Linked DNA regions of Nothobranchius furzeri. The protein of the gene in region 2 interacts with the protein of the main gene of each other region in a pairwise test. Links are inferred from orthologs where the notes say so. Each region holds a gene or a part of one and is shown on either strand. Other genes may lie near its edges. The genes, in order: si:ch211-127m7.2 and ercc6l2.

Region 1 (3,362 bases), on a different chromosome or scaffold from region 2:
TGTGCTGCACATAATTCAGCAGTTCTTTTAATTATTAATAACTTTTATATGTTTTGGCAGTTAAATTAACTCAGCAATAATGGTAATCAAGACAATTTAGAAATAAAATGTTTAATTTTGAGGATAAATTTTAGTTTTTTTGAAGAAGAAACAAAAAAAATTTTGATCATGTTTTACATTCTCTGAAAGTTTATTTTTACTTTTTATTTATTTATTTATTTATTTATTTTGCTGTATTACAGAAAATTAAAGCAATTTTTAGTTAAATCTGAGTCTGTGGTTAAAAAAAACATTCTTACTACGTTCCATCTGCTGTGACTAATAAAAGTCTGGAGAGAATTTCAGGATTTTATTCATTTATTTATCAGTTCAAACCTCTAATGATATGTTGTTCCTGAAATGCTCTGAACTGGAGACCTTTTGGGCAAAACATCAGTGTGTGTGTGTGTGTGTGTGTGTGTGTGTGTGTGTGTGTGTGTGTGTGTGTGTGCGTGTGTGTGTGTGTGTGTGTGTGTGTGTGTGTGTGAGAAACTTTTTTCTCCTTTTTCTTAATTTAGTCAGATATACAAGCTGCTCTTTACAATCAAAGCCTAAGCTCTTGCAGAAAAGAGGCTTAAAGAAGATAATTAAAAGGATTGGGTGCACAATGGCAGCTTGTTGTGCAGAGTGACAGAAAGTGAAAGTCTTATACAGGGATGATGGGAGCAAAATGATAGGGGGAGGGTGGAGAAAGAGAAAGAGAAAGGAGTAAAAGAGAAAAGAAAGTGTCACGCAGCTCGACTCTGAGATGATCTGTCGGTAGTCGGTTTCAGAACGTGACTCCGGGGCCAACAAGACAGATGTTCTTCACTAGATTACACACAAACACAAAAACGAATCAGGAGCGGAGAAAAAGGGAATGTGATTTATTAAATGTGCAACAGAAATTGTGACAAACCCAAACTAATTAGAAAAAGATTACTAGAGGTGTCGTTCCACAAACATTTTTCAGGAAACAATGCCAGATATCCCTCTCATCACCGTTTAATCTGAATCGAAGGCCACTTTTTTGTAACTTTTTTGCACACATCTAGGCAAGAAATTTAGAGTTTAGATTATTTTTTCATAAAATAAACATCCTGTCATTTTTCTTATATTTAAACACTATTTATAGTAAATATTTCAACACTTCAAAGAGCTTATAGAAGCTGTGAGCTCAACAGCACTAGCCACTGCTTGTCTTTACTTTGGATCGATTCAGCACTGTTTGCAGGTAGAAAATATAAACATATAATTATTTTAAATGGAAAATAGTTTAAATTTTGAATAAACATCCCAATGCAAAAAATGAAACTGTTTTAATTAGTCCATGAAACATCAGATAAAAATTGCAACAACTTGAAAAAGTTTTAATGTTTCACATTTTTCTTGTTTATATCTCCAAACATTCCCAGGCATCATCCCTCATTTTCAGTTTTTGTTAGCATTAAGTCGTTTAATTTATTTGGGTGGAAACAATATAAATATTTCTCATTTGGAATATGTAGGTTATTCCTCTGCCGATTTCATTATTTATTTCATTTTTTAACTTTCATTTTTTTAATAAATAAAAAAAAGCCTGAACGGTGAGAAATCACAGCAAAGTTTTACAGACTCCTTCCTGAAGCGAAATAAAAGAGATTTCTCATGCCATCTAAAGGTCACGTGCAAGCATAGACTACATACGCGTGCAAGGTGTTTTTTTTTTATTTATCGTTTCCATGGAAAAACAGTGTTGTGATGGTGCAGGTTTCCTGTAGGGGGCGCTCAGTTCTGTAATTGGTCATTTGACGTCACAATGACGCGTCGTTTTCTTCCGGTTTACGTTTATTTTGGTTAGACAAATGTCTGTAGGAAAAGAGAGGATGTAAAGTTCTGCGTGTGTCAAACATGTCTGGGAAACACCGGACGCTTCCTTCGTGGATGGCAAAGAAAGAAGATAAAGCAAAAGAAAAAAAGGCGCCACTGAAGACTCAGAAAAAGCCGAGAGCTGCAAGGTAAAGGGATGGGAAGAGCGTGTCAGGTGTTTGGTTCGGTTCAAGTTCTCAGCAGATCTCTTTTACTAACAAATATATCTCACTAAATGTCTCCAGAGCTGTTTTCTACTGTATGAACGAGGCGGAGCTGGTGGAAGCCGCTGCTTCGTGTCTTACCGATGGTTCCTGTGAGGATGTGCTGCTACTATTTCACCAACAGGTGGCACTGTTTCACATGTTTTAATTTATACCCATTTCTACAATGATTAATCTGCTGTGTGAACTGTTAAGTGTTTCTATTTATTTAATACAACAAAGTAAATGTTTTATAAAATAAAGAAAAAGCTCCTCACACTTGTGTAAACATTATTGAAGCTCCCTGGACTAATTCTGGGTGTACGTTCTCCACGCAGGCTAAAAACCAAGCCCAGAAGACAGCAAAACCCAAGCCTGATGCTTCACGGATAAAAGAAAAGCGTTTTACTGAGATTTTAGAGGAATCTTCATCAGACTGCTCCGCTGACCCAGAAACTACTTCCGTTTCAGAAACAGGCTTGGACATTACAGAGGCCGAAAAGTTGCCATACATGAGCCCACAGCATCCTGAATCCGAGGGCGAGAAGGATGATCATAAACTCATAAACACGGATGTGGAAACTGAAAAAGAAAAGCAGATGGCAGAAGATGCTGTAGAAGAGGACGAAGCCTTGCGGCTTGTACGGGAGATTTTTTTCACTTGACCAAAATAGTTAATAACCTTTGCAGAGTTGTACCTGTCTTTTTTTTCTTTGTGGACAAAACTAAACTTTTTAGTGGGGAGAATAAAACTTGAGTGATCTGTATTCACTTTTTAAAAAAAAGCTACATGGAAAGTACGGCAGCTTTAATCAGTAAATCAAAAATTCTGTTGCACATTTTCAGAAATCAGTTGTGCATGTTTTTGGGGGCAAAAAGTGCTGCAGCAGCAGTAAAATGCATTTTAGCTAAATAGTTTGTGTAGTTTTCTTTACAGGTCACATATTAAATCATGCAAACTCATTTAATCATAGTCAGGGCATCAGATTCTTCCCTGCAACTCCAGTAAGCACAGTGGTGACGACCAGCTCCAGCTGCACACCCACGCATAAATAAAACCAAAGGGTCAAGTCTTCCCAGGTCACATAAGACTGATACGAGAGCAAAAAGCCCACGATGCCAGTCAGGAGGAGTGTGCTTGATGCTGCCTGGCAGACCATGCTGAACTTGAGTGTTGATCTGTCTTTAGCGTAGGCTGCTAACAGCACCGCCAGCAGAGCAAAGGCCACAAACGCGAGTGGAGCATAAAAACACAGGATAAGCAGCGTTGCTACAAAGTTAATGTTCCTCTCA
Region 2 (3,823 bases):
ATTGCAAGAGGGAAAAGGTCAGAGTTTGGTTAAATGTCCGTTTTACCGCCGGTGTCAGTACCGACGCTCTGACACAGCGCGTCGCCTCCGCCTCCCGACGCGAGGAGCTCATCACCTGCTGGAGGACTGCATCTTGTCAGTCATTATCACGTGACAGCGACTAGTCGATGACAGGCATAAAAAGTCACTACAGAGCCGTGAAGTCGACTAGTCGACTAGTTCATACAACCCCTAGTGCAGACAAACCTAGGACATGGTCGATGGTCTTCTTCTTTTCTGTAGACGCCGGAGATCTCGGCCTTTTCAGAGATGCTCGTCTCCCGGTGGAGGTCGTCTGTTCGTCCTCTGAAGATGTGAATGTCTCTATGTCCTCTCTGTATCTAGATCCAGCTTTGCTCCTTACACCAGCACTGTGCCTTCTTGTGATGTGATCGGCCTTTCCTCGTCCTCCATCTCGTTTGTATGGATTCCAACCATCTTTATCGCAACACATCTTCGCTTCGAAGTCTAGATCGTCTGATTCATCGGAGTAACTGTCAAATAGGTGAACGTCGGGAACAGTAGTTTTGAGTTTATGAGCTTTCTTGTTGTCCGGTGAGGAATTTTCATCGCTCTTGTCATCCGATGCAGTTTGTTTATCCATCCCTCGTTTCAGACCCTGCCTCCGCCTCACTGCGTATTCCCCCTCGTTAAACATGTTTCCATTACCTTCATGTTTTCCGTCGGAGTCAGAGGATTTGTTTTTTGTTTCGCATTTGGGAAGACTGACAGCACTAGTATTTCCTGGACTGGACGTCTTGGAGCTGGCAGTGGAATCACCCTCTACACGCTGATCTTCAGCCTCTTCAGAAGAGCTGCTGTCCTCCTTTGCGTCTGGTTTTTCTTTCACCCTTTCGAGGAGTTTAGAGAAGCCAAGCTGAAGGAGGCCCATCCGACCGGGAGACGAACTTGCCCCCTCACGTTTGTTGTCATCATCTCCACCCGGGTTTCTCTTTAGCCCCTGCACCTCCTCATCCTCTGATCCACTCCCACAGCTGAAGTCCAGGAGATAACTGGGGATCTCTAACGTGTCTCTCGTCTTCTCAGCTGCTTCATCCTTAGACAGGGGGCCATTTTTGAGTGGATCTCCGGGTTCCTGAAGTAAAAAAAAAAAAAAAAAAAAGCATAAAGCGAAAGAAAAACACGGATAGCCAAAAGAGTGGTACACAAGCAAGAGAATGATATGAAACAGAATTAGCTACAAATTCTTCATTTCCATTTTTAATACCATCTTTAGGTGGAGGCCGCGCAGTGGCGCAGTGGTTAGAGCTGTTGCCTTGCAGCAAGAAGGTCCTGGGTTTGCTTCCCGGCCTGGGATCTTTCTGCATGGAGTTTGCATGTTCTCCCTGTGCATGCGTGGGTTCTCTCCAGGTACTCCGGCTTCCTCCCGCAGTCCAAAAACATGACTGTTAGGTTGATTGGTCTGTCTAAATTGTCCTTAGGTGTGTGTGTGTGTGTGTGTGTGCATGACTGTTTGTCCTGCGTGTCTCTGTGTTGCCCTGCGATGGACTGGCTCTCTGTCCAGGGTGTACCCCGCCTGATTGCCCGTTGACCGCTGGAGATAGGCACCAGTGCCCCCCCCCCCCCCCCCCCCCCCCGACCCTACGTGGACAAGCGGTTTCAGAAAACGGATGGATGGATCTTTAGGTGGGAGGTTTCACTGGACGATGGAAAACAGATGATTCCCAACAACAAATCTTAATAAACACGGATGTGACATGAGCCCTCAACTATGATGCAACTGGCAGAAAACAAAATAACAATTAAATAGAAAAATGGACTTTTTTTAAGTCCACTCCTCTCATTAGGTCAAGCAAGTCATTAAATCCAGCTGCTGAGACAAGAACCTCATCACCATTCGGCACTACGACTAAAGACGAACCAAAATAATCGAATGGTGAATGGGTTTTATTCAGCTTACACAACTTAAACTTTTGATTTTTTTTCACTAAATATCTGTGCTTAGATGATTTCTGTAAGAAGTTTGTCTTTTTTTCCACTCCAAGGACGTGAGCTGTGGTCTGCTAGCATGACAATGCGTGGGTTGGTTTGACTGACAGATTAAAAGAAGCCCGTTTGAGGTACTCCCTCTTTCACATGGGAATAAGGGAGTGAGTGATCCACTTGGGAGAGGAGATGGGAAAGGTTTGGGAAAGACGAGAGCCCCGTGTCTCTGAGAACGGCAGAGCTACTCACGCCATCTCCCTTCGTCTCCTCCTCCTTCTCGCCCCCTCTGTGTGTTCTTGTTGTCATCACGCCGGCCTCCACTTGTCCTTCCCGCTGACAAGATAAATATAAACATTCAAACCACAACTTGGAGCTGTCAGGATTATGAAAATGAAACATGATCTATTCTTGCAAACCTCTAAACTTTAGATGTTTGCAAGAATTTTAAATATAAAGAGGCTCATTCCTTTACATTTTAAATTGTGATTTCCAGGTTTTTTTTTTTGGTCACAATTTTCACAGGAATGCACTTTTTCAATGTTTTGTTAACTTATCTTTCAGCAACTGTTTCGTTTGTGTGTGTAAAACTCTCAATAATGTGATTTTGAACAGGCCACCAAAGACATGCTAGATCTCTGACCTCCAGAATCCTGCATGTGAGACACGTTCCTTCCATTTGCAGCCTGAAGAGATTTTTGATCCCAAACAGTTCTCCTTTGTAGACGTCGTTCCTCTGCACCGCCTCAAAGTACCTCCGGGCGCTCTCCTTGCCAACAACTGAGCTCTGCAATTGCTAGTGAAGATAAAATCACGCATTGAACCGTTAGCATGAGGTTTAGCATCAGGCTTACACTCAAGAAGAGAGGATTTAGGGTTTGAACGAATAAAATATGAAATCTTTATTTTAGGAACAGTTACAGCGTGAGCTGCTCTAACCTTTCTCAAATAGAAATGTATATTTATTGCAGAAGTTAAAGATGCATGACGTAAGAGTGACATCTTGTGGTCAGATGTAGGTACCGCAGTCTCTGTATTAAAAGAAACAAGTCCGCTCTGAGTAGCTGTTTCCCATTACGGCTCAGCGCCAGAAGACTCTAGATGGTGAGCGATGACGAGTCATGTGCAGTAGGTTGATAAATATATTTCACTGTAACATCGAGTTGTTGGTAATTAAAAAAATAGCTTGAGATATTTTTAGAGCAGACAATATTTTACTAATTCACCGTTAGCATTGTTAGCTCAGTGTTAGCGTCTAGACTCTTCACCCGATTTTAGAGTAAAACGAAAAGATGCCGTGCTGTTCTTAGAGGCACAAGAAATAACTTCTGGGTCGCTCCTGCTTACTGGCTAACAATCTGTCCAAAACGCTGCTGCTCTTCGCTGACAGTGCCAAATAAAAAATGCTGGAACAGGAGTGTTTGTGTTGACTTGGCAACCTTGTGGGCTCACATATGATTGGCTCTGAAACCAGGAAGTATGGAGGCAGGAGAGAATATAACTTGGTCTTTTTAAAAGTAAAAAAAAAAAAAAAAAAAAAACCTGACAAACCCCCAGCTGGTTGAGAGAGAAATCTATTTCAGTATTACCTTACTTCCAACGTGGCTGCAACAGCAGACGGTTTTGTGATTACGTCACTTTAAAATTCTTACTTATTGCACCTTTAAATTACCGATTACTGGTATCTCAAGGGAGGAGATGTGAGGAGACATTTTTGCAACCTTTCAAAGCCTTAAAAAGTATTTTTGTACTCTGCCAGAAAAAATATACACTAAATCTGTTTCTGGCTAAATGTGTCAAGAAAATAATACATTACCAATATGTTGCATCATTTCTTCTA

Evidence for each region.
Region 1: the proteins of ercc6l2 (region 2) and si:ch211-127m7.2 interact in binary tests that used the Homo sapiens proteins (3 or more experiments, as listed by UniProt). The two-hybrid records come from large-scale screens. The link is inferred for Nothobranchius furzeri from reciprocal best matches to the Homo sapiens genes ERCC6L2 and CYREN.

Annotation. Positions count from the first base shown.
Region 1 is NC_091744.1:72,125,813-72,129,174, reverse strand, and holds si:ch211-127m7.2 (cell cycle regulator of non-homologous end joining), read left to right. Parts: upstream 1-1,443; 5' UTR 1,444-1,908; coding exon 1,909-2,015; intron 2,016-2,111; coding exon 2,112-2,214; intron 2,215-2,407; coding exon 2,408-2,734; 3' UTR 2,735-2,821; downstream 2,822-3,362. Other genes in the region: uncharacterized protein, read right to left, coding at 3,044-3,362. UniProt on the Homo sapiens protein: Cell-cycle-specific regulator of classical non-homologous end joining (NHEJ) of DNA double-strand break (DSB) repair, which can act both as an activator or inhibitor of NHEJ, depending on the cell cycle phase.
Region 2 is NC_091757.1:51,348,883-51,352,705, reverse strand, and holds part of ercc6l2 (DNA excision repair protein ERCC-6-like 2), read right to left. Parts: intron 2,780-3,823; coding exon 2,627-2,779; intron 2,320-2,626; coding exon 2,236-2,319; intron 1,136-2,235; coding exon 247-1,135; intron 1-246. UniProt on the Homo sapiens protein: Promotes double-strand break (DSB) end-joining and facilitates programmed recombination by controlling how DNA ends are joined in a spatially oriented manner during repair.